2 linked regions of the Sus scrofa genome follow. The protein of the gene in region 1 interacts with the protein of each later gene in a biochemical or structural test. Links are inferred from orthologs where the notes say so. Each region holds a gene or a part of one and is shown on either strand. Other genes may lie near its edges.

Evidence for each region. The genes of interacting proteins can lie anywhere in the genome.
Region 2: the proteins of PRPF40A (region 1) and U2AF2 form a complex in vitro, tested with the Homo sapiens proteins (2 studies listed by BioGRID). The link is inferred for Sus scrofa from reciprocal best matches to the Homo sapiens genes PRPF40A and U2AF2.

The regions. Positions count from the first base shown.
Region 1 is NC_010457.5:60,404,859-60,408,504, forward strand, and holds part of PRPF40A (pre-mRNA-processing factor 40 homolog A), read right to left. Parts: intron 2,381-3,646; coding exon 2,272-2,380; intron 1,285-2,271; coding exon 1,220-1,284; intron 860-1,219; coding exon 695-859; intron 1-694.
Region 2 is NC_010448.4:59,777,123-59,780,768, reverse strand, and holds part of U2AF2 (U2 small nuclear RNA auxiliary factor 2), read right to left. Parts: intron 2,820-3,646; coding exon 2,684-2,819; intron 2,107-2,683; coding exon 2,062-2,106; intron 1,806-2,061; coding exon 1,702-1,805; intron 1,519-1,701; coding exon 1,367-1,518; intron 182-1,366; coding exon 65-181; intron 1-64. UniProt on the Homo sapiens protein: Plays a role in pre-mRNA splicing and 3'-end processing. By recruiting PRPF19 and the PRP19C/Prp19 complex/NTC/Nineteen complex to the RNA polymerase II C-terminal domain (CTD), and thereby pre-mRNA, may couple transcription to splicing.

The DNA of each region.
Region 1 (3,646 bases):
AGTTTTTCACTAAGGTTTTTCTGGAAGATGTGAGGTAAATAAAAAACATACAGGGAAAATGAACATAATAGCTATCGCAAATAATGTTAATACTCAATTACCCACAGTTTTAAATAATAAACCACTCCAAAAATGAAGAATGCTATATAAATACAAGTTTTCAAATATGCTATACTTAATAAAAATAGTATATTTCTATTCCACAAACATAAAAATTAAAATTTTTATATTAAAGACAAAGAGAAGCCTTCAATTTTTTCTTGGGGGGGGGGGTCTTTTTAGGGCTGCACCCATGGCATAAATAAGTTCCCAGGCTAGGAGTCAAATGTGGGATCCAAGCTGTGTCTGCAACCTAAACCACAGCTCACGGCAACACCAGATCCTTAACCCACTGAGCAAGGCCAGGGATAGAACTGACATCCTCTTGGATACTAGTCAGATTCTTACTGCTGAGCCATGACAGGAACTCTCACAAGGCTTCATTATTAAAGTTTTTCTTGCCTTTTTGTTCTAGTCCCAAATAAATAACTCAGTCTATTAACTACTGACCTATCTTCCACCTTACAAAAGTGTCATATTCATGATCTGGATTTAGCTTTACATAATCAGCATCTACTCTGGATTAGTTACTGCACTTGGCAGAAAGTCTAATGCAGAAACAGTAAACATATACCATGATCACCAAAAATCTTACTTGTATCTAGTTGTAGAAGTCATTTTCTCATGATTTTCAAGAAAACGTTGAAAGGATTCCTTAGCCTCTTTGTATTTGGATCTTGCTTCTTCTTTTTCTTCTTTTTCTGTCTGGACTTTATAAGCATTAAAGGCCTGCTTCTTTTCACTCAACTTTGCTAAAGCACTAAATAGAAAAATACAATGTAAGAATAAATGAAGGTTAAGATGATCAAACATTAGTGCTTTGAAAAAACAACAGATTTCATTCACAAATTAAGAATACTTAAGAAGTTATTAAAGATAAATCATTACAGAACATAATTTCTACTTAAAAAATATTTCTACTAACATCTGTAGCAGGGTAAATTGTATGACATGCCTTTTAGCTGTTTTGGTTCTTATCAGCCATCAAGCAACTCTACTACTGGTGTCCAAAATAACTGAAGACCATGAGGATGAAAAGTTATATTATTTTACACAATTTGCATTTTCTAGGCTTACTCTGCTCAAAGTGACAAGTAAATTTAAAAAACCAAAATATTACCTGTATCGTGGGTCATTAATAATCATTTTCATAGCTTGTTCCCATGAAGCATTTGATGGTACCCGCTGAAAATCATTTAATGGAAAATTAAAATTACATACAAATATAGTGAAAGTCATACAACAGAGAACAAAGTATAATATTCACTGCAAACGTCAAGTAATTCCCTTTGCAGGAGTTTGAGCTTGGATTGGGTGTTGCCATAGCTGTGGCACAGGCCTCAGTTGCAGCTCCAATTCAATCCCTAGCCTGGAAACTTCCGTATGCCACAGGTGCACCCAGAAAAAGAAAAACAAGAAAAACCGAAACCAAAATTTAAACAGACCATCAATACATTACGAATAAAACACCTTTTATTAAACACTGAGGTGGACTGTATGGTAGTACTCTGTACATATCTGCAGGAATGGGGGGGGGTGAAAATCAGTTTCACAAAAAAAGTACAATAAAAAAAGGACAAATATAGTTCATTTTCAATCTCAACAGTTTCTAAGATTAGATTTTTTTTTTGTCTTTTTAGTGCCGAACCCTTGGCATATGAAAGTTTCCAGGCTAGGGGATGAATGGGAGCTGCAGCTGCCACTAATGCTGGATCCTTAACTCACTGAACAAGGCCAGGGATCCTCAGGGATACTAGTCAGGTTCTTAACCTGCTCAGCCACAATGGGAAACCGTAAGATTAGTATTTAATTTTAACTTTTTATCTTGTCTTTTCTAGGGCCACACCTGCGGCACCTGGAGGTTCCCAGGCTAGGAGTTGAATCAGAGCTATAGCCATTGGCCTATGCCAGAGCCATAGCAAAACCAGATCCTAGCCACGTCTGCAACCTACACCACAGCTCACAGCAATGTCAGATCCTTAACCCACTGAACAGGGTCAGGGATTAAACCCGCAACTTCATGCTTCCTAGTCGGATTCGTTAACCATTGCACCACAATGGGAACTCCAGTATTTTAATTAATAAAAGCAATAAGGTACCAATTGCATTAAAGAATAATTTCACTTATTAGATATTTATTATGTGTCATATAAAAATATGTAACATAAGTACCTTTTCTTTCAGTAATTCTTTAAATGCTTGCTTTGCTTCCTCCTTTGTATTCCAAGTATATGTTTTTTTTGCTGGTTGGTTTTCTTCCTCTTCTTTTTTAGGAGTAAAACTAGAGAGAAATTTATACACTGTGTTTATAGTTTAAATAAACATTTGCTTCATTTAGGAAAATGTTCCAATTAGTATTTAAGTATTTCGTGTTGAGATAAAATTTGACAATTTTAGAATAAAGTATCCTATATGAGATACATAAATAAAAAAGGTTTTTTCTGTTACATTCAGTTATTAAGTCCTTCCACAAACACCTACACTACACCACCAGTTCCATTAGTCCACAACTTAAACTTAACGGCTTACAAAACTTCTTCAATGTCATTTTAGTGTTTAATAACTGAGCATTTGGGCAAGTGTACATAAAATATAATAAAGATGTAGAGATCAATCTAAAATGGGCTTGGCAAATGATGACCCACAGGCCAAACAAGTCTTCTGCCAACTTCTGTAAATAGTTTCAAAGGAACTGCTTAAGCGTTAATATATTGATTACGGCTGACTGTATACTACCAAAGCAGAAATTGAGTCACCATGAGACTATATAACCCACAAAAACAAAAGTATTTACATTTTGAAGGCCTATGAAAAAGTTTTCCAAACACTGATCTCAAATAGAAAGAATTACCCAAACAACTGTACTTGCCGAGAGACCTTTACGAAAATAAATTTATGAAAATAATCCTAACAAGAGAATGAAGAAAAAACAAAACAAAAAACAAACCAAGAAACACATAAAAAGCCCACCACCTTTAAATTGAATACTTAGGGGATGATACTGAAATATATACTAACAAAACTACACATATAGTCACACCCTCTGAACCAGGTAACCTTATTTGGGAAAATTTATTTAAAATTATCAAAAATACTGTAAAAAGCATAGCTGGAATTTACCAGCTATAAATGATCCATATCAAAGTAATTAAAATGTAAAGATTATTATAATGACTCAAGTACTATAATAAGGAAACAGGAAAAAAGGAAGCAAAATACAACTATTTGTTGAAAAATTGTGAAAAACAAATTATTGTGAAAAAAAAAACATTAAGTGCAATTCAAAAGAAGTAAAAAAATATTACTCCAAAAGGCCTAAATGTCAATCATTAGGTAAACACTGATATTAATGTATATATTAATAATAAAATAATGACATTATTCAACTTGATGGAGTATGATCTCTAGTGATATAGTTGTCTGATACTTTTTAAAATTTAAAATATGCACATATTTTAAATGCAGAGAATAAGGCAGAAAGATATTAAAGTGCTATCACTCTTTTATGCCTTCAGCTATACTACATAGATATATTTTTTAGACTTCT
Region 2 (3,646 bases), on another chromosome or scaffold:
GGGTGGGGAATGAGGGCTGCCGCAGAGGGGGGCATGGCCTGACCCCACCGCACGCCCAGCTCACCTCTAGGAAGGCAAAGTTCTTGTCCTGGTTAATCTGCACCGCCAAGACGGGGTTGCCGGGGGCCTGGGTCAGCCCCCCCAGGCGCATCTGGGCGTTGAAGAAATCCATCATGGCCTCCTGCAGAGGGAAGAGGAGACAGGGGGGGCGGGGGGGAGGTGGAGAGAGGAGGGGAAGGGTGAGAGAGGGAGACACAGAGGGGTTTGGGGGTCAGGGGAGAGGGACGAGGGCAGGGTGGGAGGGAAGGAACAATGGAGTAGGGGTCGGGGCACAGAGACCACAGCAGGAACAAAAGCAGAAGAAAGATGAGAGAAACGGGGGGGGGGGGGGGGGCAGCAGGAGACAGCCAGGGTCCAGGAGGCAGGACAGGAGGTCGGGGAGAGCCACGGGCCCCAACCAGGGGAAAGGCGAGAGATCGTCCAAGAGTCAGGAAACAAGAGAGAGCGAGGAGAAGAAACACGTGAGTCGACAAACCAGACGTCGAGGTGACAGCAAGAGGAAAACGGCAGCACAGTGGGAGGGCAGCGAGAGCAGGCAGGACAGAGAAACCCGAGGCAGAGGGGGCGGAGGGCGGGGAGGGCGGAGGGGCGGGGGGAGGGAGGGGAGGAGAAAAGAGTGATGTGGAGGGATCTGGCCCTGGAGTCCGGGGGCTGGTTCATCAAATGTAGCAAAGTGCAGGTTGAGAAAGTCAGAATGGACCTTACTTGCCTTCAACGACGGTAGCAAACTTTTTGTTGCTACGAGGGATCTCAGCCCCACAATATTTCACTTTAAAGAGAAATGGAAACAACTCTTTGATCTCGGGATTCTCAGGGGTGCCACGGGAAGGGGTGGGGGAGAGGGGATGGGAGAGGAGCGGTGGGGAAGGTGGGGAGTTCAGGGCGATCAAAAACGAGAGTGTGGGGAGAGGACGGGACAGGCGGCAGAGAACAAGAGGTGTGTCAGAGAAACTGGAGGGGAGCGAGCGTCAGTGTGAGCGTGAGTGTGTGTGAGTGTGTGTGTGTGTCCGAGTCTCCCTCTCTGTCTCTCCATACGGATTCGGATCCGTGGATGCGTAGGTACGGTACGTGTGTGCTTGATCCCTGGGTGCTGGAGGAGGCGGGGAGGGGAGACGGGAGGGGAGAGGAGGGAGGGAGCGGGCCACCCCCAGCCCGGCCCCTGGCTGGCTCAACTCCATCGTCCGTCTGGGAGGGGGCCGGGGGGTCTTGCAGGAACAGAGTCTGACCCGTGCAGGTTGGGGGAGGGAGGGGAGGGAGGGGAGGAACAGGGGGGACAGGGAGAGGCAGGGCAGGGGGAGGGCAGTACCTCAGTGATGCCAAAGGGGATGTTGCCCACGTAGAGACGGCGGGCCTGCCTGGTCATCTGGCTCCCGACCACAGGCACGGGCGTTGGGGTCACGGCCAGACCATCAGGGGTCATGGTGGGGAGGAGGGCGGTGGCTGGAATCTGACCCGCAGCTTCGAGAGGAAAGAAGAGAACCAGAGGATGGCAGGGTGCCCGTGGACGCGCAGGGCAGCAGCACGCTCCTCAACGGACCTCAACGGAGCGCAGCCCTCGGCGGCTCCCCGCTGGCCCCACCGCGCCAAGGACTCCAAAGGCAGAGGCCCGAAAGCCCCCCGCCCCCAAAGAGAGGCGCCCACCTTGCATGGCCTTGTACTGCATGGGGGTGATGTGCTCGAAGCCTGGCGGCGGCACGTCCCAGTACTTGCGGACCTTCTTCTTCTTCTCATGACGGGGGGACCGGCTGGGGGAGGGCGAGGGAGAGCGGGGCGGGGCAACCTCAGTCTGACCAAGGGTGGGCCTGCGGGTCCCCCAGGCGCCCCTTGCCCCCCACCCCAGCGGTCTCTCCAGGAGGGAGAGGATCCGGGACGGGGCCGTTCCAAGGCGGGGGGAACTCTCTCCCCAGGGCTCGGGCCGGGGCTGGACAGGGACGGGGCAGGTGGGCCAGAGGGAGGTGGGGGACTGGACGTGGGGTGGAAGGGGCAGGAAGAGAAGCTCACATCAATCCACCGTGCTCCTCTTTAGCGCCTCTGGTCAAAGGTTTGCTGGGGGGTGGGAGGGAAACGCATGGGGAGGGGTGACTGGGGACCCTCGTCTTCCCCACTCACCACCCCACCCCCCAGGGCACTGAGCCCCAGGGCTGGGACAGGGCCGAGGTGAACCCCAGGCAAGCAGGCCCCCTCGGCCCCGCGTCTCCCCCCAGCCCCCCGCCCAGGCCAGAGGAAGGGAGGCAGGGCCCGACAGACCACTCTCTAGCTGGAGCCTGAGGTGGGAGGAGGCAGGAGAACCTCGCCTGTCCCGCCCTTCCTCACCTGAGGGGCAGAGAGAACAGAGGAGCCAAGGGAGGGGAGGGAAGAGGCGTTAGAAGAGAGAAGAGCCGCCCGGGCGGGCGGGGCAGAGATGGGCTCCAAGAACCCCCTGGTCCCGGGACGGCCCCCAAGGACCAGGCAGGGGAAGAGGCAGGACAACGGAGCCCCTGCGGGAGGGAGCCCGAGCCACACCCGAGCGCCCGCTGCTGCACCAACGACCCACCGGAAACCCGAGAAAGCCCAGGCCAGGGAACCCCGAGCTCCAGAAAGACAAGCCGCAGAGCCCCCGGGACGAGAGTGACCCCGCCGGTACCTTCGCCGCCGCCTGTCGCGGGAGGCGCTCCGCTGGTCCCGGTTGCGCCGGTCCCGGCTCCGGCTGCGGCGCTTGCGGTCCCGGCTTCTGGAGCGGCTGTGGCTGCGCTTGCGGTGCCGGTTCTCCTTGTCCCGCTCTGGGCAGGGGCGGGGAAGGTGAGCTGAGGGAGGCTGCGGCCCGGCCCACCCGCTCACTGTCACCTACGGCCCAGCCCCAGGGAGGCCACCCCCCACGGGGAAGGGACGGCAGGCTTCCTGGGTCCACAGGCGTCCAGGACCCTGGGGCGCCAAGGGCGGGAGCTGGTTACCTGAGGGGCAGGGCCTGGAGATGCCCCGGGGTGTAAGGTACCTGAGGATGCTCAGGAGGAGCTGGGGAGCCAGAGAAGACAGAGGAGGCTGGCTCCTGGTCCCCCTCCAGGGCTGAGGGGCCTGACCCCAGGGTCGTCCCTGAGAGGGGCAGGGCTAGAGGCTGGGGAATCAAGAGACCCAATGATGTTTTCCTGCAGGGACCCAGCAGCCCCTCAGGAGAGACCTCCTCAACCAGCTGGCCCCCACAGCCCCACGCCCAGGCCCCAAGTCAGATGCCAGGCAGGCTCAGAGATGCCTGGGAAGCAGCGGAACCCACCCCGCCCCAGCCCTTCCCCACCAGGCGAAGAGTGCAGGACGCCCTCCTCCAGGGAGGCGCCCCTTCCAGAATCCGGGCTGAAGGGGAGGTGACCCACCCAGGCCCCCCAGACCCACAGGTCCTCAGAGCCAGGGACAGGAGAAACCAGGGTGGACGCTTTCTCGGAGCTCCCCACGGGCCGCTAGCTGGCTCCTTCTACCCCCTCCCCTCCCCTTGGGGGCAGATTCTGCCTCCCTGCCCAGCAGAACCACAGAACCCTTGGCTCCCAGCAGACCTTTCACTCCTGAAAGAGGGGCAGTTCCAGGGCCACGCGGCACTCTATTTCCTTGGTTCGAAACA